Linked DNA regions of Macaca mulatta. The protein of the gene in region 3 purifies or fractionates together with the protein of the main gene of each other region. This does not show direct contact. Links are inferred from orthologs where the notes say so. Each region holds a gene or a part of one and is shown on either strand. Other genes may lie near its edges. The genes, in order: GEMIN4, MRPS9 and SNRNP70.

Region 1 (3,819 bases), on a different chromosome or scaffold from region 3:
CATCTTGGACACCCCTTTGTTCGCGCTCCATGCCGCCCACTTCCTTCTTCAGCTCCTCACTCTGGCCGCCTAGCTCCTCACGGCGTCCATCTTGGACACCCCTTTGTTCGCGCTCCCTGCCCCCCACTTCCTTCTTCTTCAGCTCCTCCACTTTGGCCGCGTAGCTCCTCATGGCGTCCATCTTGGACACCCCTTTGTTCGCGCTCCAAGCCTCCCACTTGGCCCTGGCCTTCACGTCTGAGGCCGGAGGGGCGGGGATGCCGCAGTCGCCCTGGGTGGCCTGTTTGTAGAGGCCGTAGATCAGCAGCTTCTCCGGATCGCTCACAGGACCCTTCAGCTGCTTGAGGGCCGCGCGCGCCAGCTCGAACTCCACTTGGCACATGAGGGGGTGGAGGCGGTGCCTGGTGCTCGAAGCTGGAGGTGGAGAGTTGGAATGGCGGTTACTACTCGATCTCAGGGGGGAACGCAGGCAGGCACACGATGTTTGTGTTTTCTCAAGCACAGGCTGCAAGCTCGGGGTCCCGCGTACTGGCGCCACCCCACCACGTTTGGGCTCACACGGTGCATTTTCTGGGGAGGAACAGCCGTCAAAAGCGTCTAGGATCCGGGCCGCTGCTGTCTGAAGGGGGCGGCGCCGCGCGGCAGGAGCGCGTTGAGGGACTGTGTGGGGGGCGGACTGGACGCGTGGGAGTGGAAGGCTCGCGCGGTGCGGCCGCGCTGGGTAGTGGGCGGCCCGCGGGAGGCGCTCGGTGGCGGTGAGCTGTGTGCGGGGCACGCCCGGGGTTACCGGGTGAGGGTGAATGCGGGGCCGGGGACTCGTGAGCCGGACCCGCTGAGACCCCGGAAGCGGGCCAGGGCAGGGGACGGTGCGGAGGGTCTGGGGAGCGACGCCTGGTACCTGAGGGTGGGTGGGAGGCCTCTGCCGGAAGGCGGCGCTGTGCGCTTGGCGCGCTCGTTCGTGAGGACTGCGCGTGCGCAGGGGAGACTGTGGGCGGGGCCTGAGCGCCGCCGCCGTGGCGCCTGCGCCGTCCATTGTGCTGTGCGTCCCGCGCCGCGTTCGCGTTCTCGGAGTAGAGGGGGCGTTAGCCCCGCTCGGCCGCCGGCGTCGCCGCCATGGACCTAGGTGGGTGTCGCGTCTCCTCAGCCCCGGGCTGCGTCTCGCGATGCGCCACCGGGACGGTGCCGCCCCGTCGCGTCTCCTCCTGCCGCGCACGCTCGCTTGGGCCCGGGCCAAAGCGTCCACCACGTCGGGGCGGGTCTGGGGGTCCCCGGGTGGCCTTGACGGGGGTGGTCCGGGTCCCGCTGCGCGTTGGGCCGGGTCTTGCCCACTCCGCGGGAAAACACCGAGCAGACGTAAAGTGAGAGCCCCTGGAAACGCCCGGGGCCCGGGGCTCGCGCACGTGCTTTGAGAAACGGGCTTTCTCCGAGCACCCCCGGGTGTCCCGGCGGCCTCATTTTCTGAACGGCAACTGCGTTCTTGAGCAAGCGTCTTAGGCTCCAAGTGTCTTACGCTCATCAGGTTTCCTCATCGACAGAGCTGGGGGAATGACAGTGTGTCTCCCCACTGAGTGTTGGGCGACTTTTCATGGAGATCGCCGAGGCACAGTGTCCCGTGCAGGGCTGCGCGGGTCACACCGCGGTTGGGGCGGCTGTGTTCCTGAGGCGTCACTTTCTGAACCTGCGTGCGTCCTGATTCAGAATCTTGCAAGGTCTGGGAGAGGGGGAACCCTGGAACTAGGAGCTCCCTGCTAAGCCTCGACACAGGCTGCTAAGACCAGGAGGCTGTTCTGGGAGAGCTGGGGGTGAGGCACCCCGAGATGTGTCAGCAGTAGTAGGCTGGGGGGAAATGGTCTGTTCCCCGCCCCCAGAGAGCTCTTCAGGAGCGGTATGGCAGAACTCTTAGGGCTTGGAGCCCCTTAGCCGTAATTGCTTCCCAGCCCCACCACATCCAGGCGGGGGCACCCTCAGCAAATCGTTTCTGCGCCTCAGTGTCTTCTTCTCTAAAACCGGAATAATAGTCCTCAAAAGGTGGTTGTGAATCGAAGAGATCTTACATGTGCACCACCTAGCACCGTGCCTGGCATGGAGTAGGCGCATAATAAACCTTAGAAGCGGGCTCTGGTAAGCACTAATTAACCATCCGTGATGAAGCACCGGAGTGTTTTCCAGCTAGTAACTGACTTACTACTTCAAACTGTGGGTACTTACTGCGCCTGGAAGGCAGGTGTTGAGGGCCAAACATCTGCTCAGCTAATCCAATAATGCAATAAAATAAAATTTACAGCGTCAGGAGGGACCATATTTTGGGACCCTGGGAGAGCCTCCTGAGCCAGAAAGAAGGGCCGTAACCCCCAGAGAGGTCCCCTCTGCAGCCTGACCTTCCCTGGGAGTCAGATTCAGCCACTGTGAGCTGAGATGGATTGCCTCCACAAGTGGGTTACATAGTGCTGAACCCTTGTCCTGCTGCTGCTCTCATAAATGGTGGGAAGGGTAAGATGGTCCTTAGTTTCCTGGAGTCAGCGTTTTCTCTGCTGGTGTCTGGCCTGGGAAAATGGGGAATATGAGCTCTCGTGGGCATGAGAGACTGAGGAAGGAGTAGCATCTCTCAATCCTAGGAGAGGGGAGAGGCCTCAGGAATGAGGAATAGGAAGCAGTATTTGTACCCTCGTTTTAGTTTCTAGGCCAAAGGAAACATGCCTGATAAAGGCCTATATCCTTTGATGTTTCTGAGCTGGGGGAGGCAAAGAATAGTGACAAGATTCTGGTCCTGCCAACTATGAAAAGGTTTGGGGAAACCAACATTTACTGAGTACCTAACTAGACTCTGTAACCCGATTCTTATTGTAGCTGTATTTATCTATCATAGCGTCCCGGAGAGATGGGGTCAGGAGATAGCAATACCAACCCCCTAGAAAGGGCTTGACTGGTATATATCACATGATCCTCAAAGTTATAACATGAAGTCTGTATTATCCCCACATATGCAGAAGGAAGGCTTGGAGAAGCAACTTGACCAAGATTACATCCTTTTTTTTTTTTTTTTTTTTGGAGATGGAGGGGGTTCTCATTATGTTACCCCAGCTAGTCTTGAACTCCTGGCCTCAAGGATCCACCTGCCTCAGCCCCGCCAAGTAGCTGGGATTACAAGTGCTAGCCACTGCACGTGGCCAGAATCACATTGTTTTTAAATGGCTGAGCTAGGATTTAAACCCATGTCTGATTAAACATCCCAAGATGCTTTCCATGGTAAGTCTGTGTCAATCGTTAGTTCCCTGAAGGAAGGCTTAATCTAGCACAGTATTTTCTGTATCTACTCCCTGGTTTCTCCCACAGAGCAGGGCCATGAGTAGCTTGTTTTTGACCAGAAGGAGCTGTGGGGTGGACTGTTTACCTGAAAGGTAGAAGAATGTTTGAGGCCTGTTCCCAAGGCAAGGTTGTAAAGGGTGAAGGCAGGGCTTGTCTGATTCCTTCTGTGCCCATTACTCCATGGCTGTGTGATTGCTCTGTGCCCATTACTCCATGGCTGTGTGATTGCTCTGTGCCCATTACCCTGTGGCTGTGTGATTGCTCTGTGCCCATTACTCTGTGGCTGTGTGATTGCTGTGTGCCCGTTACCCTGTGGCTGTCTGATTGTGTGCCCGTTACCCTGTGGCTGTGTGATTGCTTCTGTGCCCGTTACCCTGTGGCTGTATGACTGCTTCTGTGCCCATTATCCTGTGGCTGTGTGATTGCTGTGTGCCTGTTACCCTGTGGCTGTGTGATTGCTTCTGTGCCCGTTACTCTGTGGCTGTGTGATTGCTTCTGTGCCCGTTACCCTGT
Region 2 (3,819 bases), on a different chromosome or scaffold from region 3:
TAAGAAATACATTGGTTTGGTCCAGAAAGACCTGGGACTGATAGAAAGGGAATGTTCAGTTTAAGATAAAGACTGTGGAGACCAAAGTTCTTTAGAAGTCTTATAGTGGCTGCCCTTAGAGACAATGGATGACCAATGTTTCCTATTCAGATCTTAGTTAATCTCTTTAGGATTGGGAGGGTCTGGAAGAAAAAGATCTAGCTATGTTAACAGAGATTCTTTACGGATGCATATCCCACCCCTCCAAGGACAGCTTTGCAGGGCCATTTCAAGATATGGCAAAGAAACATGTTTTGGGGTAAAATATTTTGATTTTCTTCCTTGTCTCGTAATGTTATGCCAGAGTCAGGTTGGAAAGTAAGTCACCATATATAGGGTTAAGTAAAACCCATCTGATAAGAATTTATGATTTGTAGGGCATGACTCCCCAAATCCCGTGTATAGGAATTTGGGCAAGATAAAAAAATCAGAGTTTAGTCCTCTGACCTCTGCCAATTTCTCATGATATTTTTTGCTAGTCTAAAAGCTAATAACAGAAAGAACAACAGGATGAGCATTTTATACAAGTAAATGTATTCCATTTAAAAGATTTTTATTTATTGTGAAATTATGTCATTCTACCTTTTTAATGTTAAAAAGTTGTTTCGTGAAATGATGGTGATAGTACAGGGTGTTTGCTTGACAACTTTATATGATCTCCGATTTTCTGTGTTTTACTTTTACTGACCCTTCAAATCTAAGTGTTTGTAAACCCTTTTAAAGTGTGTTACTACATCATTTAATATGTGTTTCGTAGAAAGCGCCCTGGGAGTTAACCGTCAGGAGCACGCAAGTTTCAGAAAGCAAGACATACTCATCTCTAACAATTGATCAGTTCTGATTGGCTTTCAAGTAAGGCTTAGTACCAACGCGTAGGGAGGGACGTGCAAAAACGAGAAAGGTAGTGTTTGACCTCACCGGTTTAAGGTTTATCCTGTACAGTTAGGAAACAACGCAGGAAAGTGCCAGTTTGACAGCTGCTGCAGGAGAGTCTTGACTTGGATCCAGAAGAACGTGGAAAGTTAGAGGAGGGGAAAACCCCTACTAGGATAAGACACACAGGAAGCAATGCTTGGAATCCATCTGGGGCCCCGGCCGCCCTGCCAAGGTGGAGGAAGAGCCCGCTCGAGATGCAGCAAGGGGGCTGGGAGGGAAGGGCTGGCTAAAGTGCCACGTGGAAGTGAGCGCCAAAGAGACTAGGAGAGCGTGGAAGTGAGTTCCAAAGAGACAGAATTCAGGACGTGAAGAGAAAGCGGCCGCGATAAACTACCCACTAGCGCTCCTTCTTGAGGGCGACAGCAGCCAGGGGTGGAGTCGGATACGGCCCGCGCACTCCATGCACCCAATCAGCGACTTGCCGTCTCGGGTCGCGGGACACGCCCCCCGATCCAAAGGCCCTAGAAGCTCTTGCTCAGGACAGCCTCTGGAGCCCCCCGCCCATTAGCGCCTGCGCCGTCTCTAGGCCCCGCCCCGTCACCCCTGCGGCCCTGGATCTCCCACAGCTAACATGGCGGCCCCCTGTGTGTCCTACGGCGGAACAGTTTCCTACTGGTTTCTTCTCTGGGGTAGGGGTACCCTCGTCCGGAAGCAAAGCCTCTGGAAAACCGCGGCAGCTGAGTTGCAACCAAATGTCAGATCCCAGGTAAGGCCTGGGAGGACTGGAAGCGGTTTATCTCTGCCGCGCGAGGATGTGGAGCCAGCGCGGACACCCCCCAGCATCTCGTGCCTTCAGGCAGGGTAGATATTTAGTGGAGATCTGAGGTTGGGGGTGGGGAGGTGGGTGTTGGCTTGCAGCTGCCGCTCTGGAGATTGTTACTTGTTTTTTCGCGGGTTGCAGCGGGGGGAACTTACCTGCAGGTGGAAGTGGAGCGACCTCTTCTTTCATTTGGCGGCTGAGCTAAAGGTCGGTGCCTAGGTCTGGTGTTGGGTCCAGTCCTACCCTGCCCTGTTGTCCAGAGAGGAGGAGAGCCGCGCCAGAGAAGAATGAGGGGAATTGGATTCCTGCAGGGGCCTGGAAGACAATGGAGAAAGTCACGTTCTGTAGAGGACAGTGACTTTTTAGAAGTGCCTTCAATCTGCGCAATTTCTGTCTTCTTAATTTTCCCGAATCTTTCTCTATGGAAAGATGCAGGCCAGAACTTGTACATTTCGTTTAATCCAGAGGGAAGTGGGGAGTCAACAGCTGGTAGGCTGATGATGCCAATTTACTGACATGCGATCTCAGAGGAGGAAAAAGATTTGAGAGGGAAGAAACGAGTTTAGTTTGGGATTATGGTTTAGGCATCTGGGATTTCCAGTAGGTCTATAAATAGGCAAGTCTATAGCTCAGGAGAAGAACTGATTTCGAAGTGCCCTGTTATCTTGTAGATGGTAATTGAGGCCTTGTAAACAAATTAAATTACCTAGGGAGAGTGTACTGAGAAGTAGGCAGAGGGACAGGGCCCTGAAGGACAAATAAGAAATAGGAGGCCCCAAGAGATTGAGAATGAGAGACCAAACAAGCAGGGGAGAAACCAGCCAGTGTGGTATCATGGAAAACAGGTGAATGTTTCAAGGAGGGAGAGTGATAACCAGTACCAATTATTGCAGGGAAGTCAAACACCATGCTTTAAAAACTATATTGAAAAAAAAAAACCCATCTTTTTTTATGTTCTTTCTTTTATATTTGAACCTAGATCAACCAATCCATTCTATCTATTCATGTGGATATTTGCTTTTACTTTTTTTCTTACTGGAAAATGTGCTGGAAATTTTTATTTTTTCATGCATCTCTTTGAGTATATCTTTGCTGTATACACATGATTATGAGAGGGACTGTGTCATACAGAGTATTTTTATTGTTGACATTTAATGTGTGTATTGGGGGATGGCTAACTTTCTGTCCCTCCTGGTATCTATTCTATGCTTTTTTTCGTGTTCTTATAATCGTGTATAAACATACATGCACAGGTGTACTTTACAAAAAATGGACCATATTTGATTGCATTTTACTTTTTTGCTTTTCTCTTCTACATATGCAGTATATTATAAAGTAGAAATCTTTCAGGGTCCCCTATTATGTTTTTAAAAGCATTTTTAACTGCTGCATACTATTCCATGATAAGAATATATCAAAGTTAATGTAACAATTGATGGACTTTTGCTTTGTTTCTACTTTCTTTGCACCAATAAAGTTTCAGTAAACATCTGGTCTAGTTGTTAAGTACTGGTTTAGTAAAATGGATGAAGAATGATTTCTCCTTGTTACTTTAATTTTCATCTCCTTGACCAGTCTTGAAACAACCCCTTTCTCCCATATGGCAGATGTTTACTGAGCACTTTGCCAGGCACTGTGAAGTAAACAATTTAAAGTCGAACAATTACAAGACAGTATCCACCCTTAGCACTCTTAAGGGATGGTCCTGAAATGGCTGAATCCCCAGATTCCTGAATACTACTACAGCATGTGTTTTACCACATGAAGTACAGCTCAGCTATAACTGAAACACTTAGCTGACTCCCCTTTAGATTCTTATGATTGCATACATATACCTAAAGACGTTGATAAAGATTTTTGTTTATCCTGGCGCAGAGCTTATCTGTCTTAAATATTAACATTTTTTCACTTCTGCCTACAACATTAATAGTTAGATTTCTCTTGGTAGCCCAAGAGAAGTTTTTTATTATTTTATAAAATAATAAAAATTTTAATCACTTAATGAGTGACAAAACACTATACCTGGTCTTTTGTTTGTTCAAAGTTTAATTTCCTTAATTAGAAAATCTCTTCAGAGGTTACAG
Region 3 (3,600 bases):
CTGATCTCATGGCTAACAACCTGAGATTTCTGCCATCTGGTCCTCGCTCAGGACCTTTGCACTTAAACTGTTAAACACCACCCCCCGCTCCTCCCCCCCTCCAGATCTCGCTTCTATCTGGTTTTTGTTCAAATGTTGCCTCTTCAGAAGAGGCTTCCATTATCAAAATAGACTCGCTCTCATTTCCCATCCCTTTATTCTGCTCCATCGTTCTTCATTATGCTGGCCACTATCTCAAAATATCTTTTATTTTTTATATTTATTTATTTTTGAGACGGAGTCGCTCTGTCGCCCAGGCTGGAGTGCAATGGCACGACCTCGGCTCACTGCAAACTCAGCCTCCCGAGTTCAAGCGATTCTCCTGCCACAGCCTCCCGAGTAACTGGGATTACAGGCGCGCACCGCCACGCCCGGATAATTTTTGTATTTTTAGTAGAGACGGGCTTTCACCATGTTGGTCAGGTTGGTCTCGCACTCCTGACCTCAGGTGATCCGACCGCCTCAGCTTCCCAAAGTTCTGGGATTACATGCGTGATCCACCGCGCCCGGCCTCAAATTATCTTTACTCAGTTAAATGCTTTTATTGTCTCTCCCAGTACAGTGTAAGCCCTAGCAGGAGAAGACTTTGCTTTAATCACGTGCTGTAGCCCCAAAGCCCAGACAGTGCCTAGCACACACGAGATGCTCGATGAACAGTTATCGATTGACTAGATTAAACATCAACGCAATCAGGCCATTCACTTAGGGACTCTTTGCTAGTCGGCGGAGAGGTACATTATAGTTCCCTACGCAGAACGCATGCGCGCAAGATCCGGGAAGTGTGATTGGAAAGGGGCGGAGCATCAGGGAGAGCCTCGCGGACATAGGCGGTTTGGAGCGGAAAGCGAGAGGTGGAGGGGCGGCTTGGGGCTAAGCGCGCGCGCGCAGTGCAGACGCCAGCTCCCGGCGGTTGAAATACTCAAGGTGCCCGAAGGCGGGGTGGTGACCTCGCGCGTGCGCTGTTGCCGCGGCGGCGCCGGGTCCCAGCGTGTGGGTTGAGCTTGGCCTCGCGCGGCGCGTGCGCAGTGCAGACGGCGGAGGGATTTGCGGCCGGGACCCACCCCCTGCTCCAGTCGCTAGCCGAGGCCGCGCGGGTTCCTGAGCAGCGGCCTGGTGCGCTCGCTGCGCGGGCGACGGAATCAGACGGACGCGGACGCCCCCAGAGTGGAAGCCCAAGCAGGAGCTGTTGTTGCTGAGGGGCCGCCGCAGCCGCCGCGAGCCTCCGGACAGACACCAGAGCTAGGAGGGCGCTGCGCGGCGAGTGAGTGTGACTGAGTGGCCCGACGGGGAGCGGGGCCGCTACCCAGAAGCCCCAGCGGTGGGCCCGGGCCTCTTCCCCGCGGCCAGGCCCCCTTCCCGCGTCCTCGCCACAGGTCACTTTTGCATCCCTTTCTCGGACCCCGAGTTCTCTGGGCACCCACGCCCGGTCCCCACATCGCCCTCGCGGTTCCCTACCCACAGGCCCTTGCGGTGTGTAGCCTTTTTTCTTTTTCGTTTTTCTATGTTGTCCTGGACCCTTACCCATAATTCCTTTCGCCTTTGCGGGGCCCAGATCTGTTACCCACAAGCGCTTGGTTTTGGGGCTTCGCTCCTTATGTTTCTCTTTCTTTGCTCGGAGACTTCCGACCCCCAGGCCCTTGCAAACTGCGTCTAGTAATTTGCTGTCCACGGTACGGGACGAGCAGCCACAACTGCCCTGGGCCTCCCTCCTCGGGTCTTTGATTCCCCCAGAAATTCCCAGGCAACCTCTCCGCCCCACAGCTCGTGTCTCAGGACTCTGAGACTTCACTACTCAGGAACCCTTTTTCAGCCTTTATTTTTGTGTCTTTTACCGGCCTTTCACCTCCACCTCCAACAAGACTTTTACCCTTTTCTCCGTAACACAGGACCGTTCTCTGCCGTTACAAAGCCTGTTTTAATTCCGAGACTTTTCTCCTTTCTTTCTTACTTTGAGAGTCAAGGAGTAATAGGGGCTTTCTCTGCAGACCCGATCTAACCTAAGGCTGTCCTGCTTCTGCTCTCAGACTTGGCAAGATGACCCAGTTCCTGCCGCCCAACCTTCTGGCCCTCTTTGCCCCCCGTGACCCTATCCCATACCTGCCACCCCTGGAGAAACTGCCACATGAAAAACACCACAATCAACCTTACTGTGGCATTGCGCCGTACATTCGAGAGTTTGAGGTGAGTTCACTGAGCAGGCCAGGAATGGTTTGGGTTCTGGGGAGCAAGGGGTTGGATTTGCGAGTCCAGCCTCTGACTATTTTGCTAGCTGTGTGATTTAAGCGAGGGGCTTAATCTTTGTGATCCTCAGTTTCGCTGTTTTAAATGGGGTTGCAGCCGGGTGCCGGGTGTGGTCGAGTGCAGCAGTAGTTCTAGCTACTCAGGAGGCTGAGATGGGAGGATTGCTTGAGCCCAGGAGTTGGGGACTGAAGTGCTCTGTGATTGTGCCGCTATACTCCGGCCTGGGTGACAGAGCAGGACTTTGTCTCTCAAAAAAAAAAAAATTTTTTTTAAAGTGGGGTTGTGGCCCAGTGCGGTGGCTCACGCCTGTAATCCCAGTACTTTGGGAGGCTGAGGCAGGTGGATCACCTGAGGTGAAGAGTTCAAGACCAGCCTGACCAACATGGTGAAACCCCGTCTCTACTAAAAATAACAAAAATTAGCCGGGCATGATGATGCCTGTAATTCCAGCTCCTTGGGAGGCTGAGGCACGAGAATCACTTGAACCCAGGAGGTGGAGGTTGCAATGAGCTGAGATCGTGCCACTGCACTCCAGCCTGGGCAACAGAAGAAGACTGTCTCAAAAAAAAAGTAGGGTTTGATAGTACCCCTTTTGTAGAATTTTTGTGAAAATTCAGTGAGTAGTGGTTGAAGATTGGCACTTAACCCGCACCATTTATCAGCTCTGACTTTGGGCAAATGTTGTATCCTCTTCATGCATTGGTTTCTTTATCTTTAGCAAGGGGATAGTGGTAGCACCCTCATAATGCTGGAGAATTAAATGGCAAAGTGTATATCAGGGGCTTGGCACCAACCAGTCAGCACGTGTCAGCCTTTGTTACTTTGTTTACTGTTTTTATTGTTAATAAGATGATGTTCATAAAGACTTAGCACCCAGTATTGAGTATTGGAGGACTTAAAACTGCAGATGGGGATCTTAGCTCTGCACCTTCGGGGTAAATAGGAATGAATGACTTAGGCTCCTGGACCTCTGTGTTTTTATTTGTGAAATGGGATGACAAAGGTCTTCTCCTAGGTGCATCAGAGCACACCTGAGAAAAACTGGCACATAGCCAGAAGTTACAAGAACATTCTGGCATTGCGTAGGGAAGGGCAGCTGGAGGCGAGGGAGTTGCACAGCAGAAGTTCATAGATAACAGAAAGGTGTATCTTCAGTGGGATTTGCCACCCTTGGTGAACCCGCATTTGAGAAGTGTTACTGGCCAGTTAAATTAACTTAATGGGCACAGGCGGTGGTAGGTGCCCTTTGATGATGCAGGTCATGTGCCAGTTTCTATTTATTTATTTATTTATTTGAGAGGGAGTCTTGCTCTGTCGCCC

The links.
Region 1: the proteins of SNRNP70 (region 3) and GEMIN4 purify together in Homo sapiens (affinity purification with mass spectrometry; 5 studies listed by BioGRID and IntAct, counting the BioPlex papers as one, with this or other methods). This does not show direct contact. The link is inferred for Macaca mulatta from reciprocal best matches to the Homo sapiens genes SNRNP70 and GEMIN4.
Region 2: the proteins of SNRNP70 (region 3) and MRPS9 purify together in Homo sapiens (affinity purification with mass spectrometry; 3 studies listed by BioGRID and IntAct, counting the BioPlex papers as one, with this or other methods). This does not show direct contact. The link is inferred for Macaca mulatta from reciprocal best matches to the Homo sapiens genes SNRNP70 and MRPS9.

Annotation. Positions count from the first base shown.
Region 1 is NC_133421.1:2,295,274-2,299,092, reverse strand, and holds the start of GEMIN4 (gem-associated protein 4), read left to right. Parts: upstream 1-1,113; coding exon 1,114-1,123; coding exon of another isoform or gene 1,124-1,516; exon of another isoform or gene 1,517-2,971; intron 2,972-2,985; exon of another isoform or gene 2,986-3,246; intron 3,247-3,819. Other genes in the region: uncharacterized protein LOC721152, read right to left, coding at 1-1,516. UniProt on the Homo sapiens protein: The SMN complex catalyzes the assembly of small nuclear ribonucleoproteins (snRNPs), the building blocks of the spliceosome, and thereby plays an important role in the splicing of cellular pre-mRNAs.
Region 2 is NC_133418.1:13,159,147-13,162,965, forward strand, and holds the start of MRPS9 (small ribosomal subunit protein uS9m), read left to right. Parts: upstream 1-1,519; 5' UTR 1,520-1,546; coding exon 1,547-1,681; intron 1,682-3,819.
Region 3 is NC_133424.1:61,533,565-61,537,164, forward strand, and holds the start of SNRNP70 (U1 small nuclear ribonucleoprotein 70 kDa), read left to right. Parts: upstream 1-1,108; 5' UTR 1,109-1,300; exon of another isoform or gene 1,301-1,509; intron 1,510-2,063; 5' UTR 2,064-2,073; coding exon 2,074-2,220; intron 2,221-3,600. UniProt on the Homo sapiens protein: Component of the spliceosomal U1 snRNP, which is essential for recognition of the pre-mRNA 5' splice-site and the subsequent assembly of the spliceosome. SNRNP70 binds to the loop I region of U1-snRNA.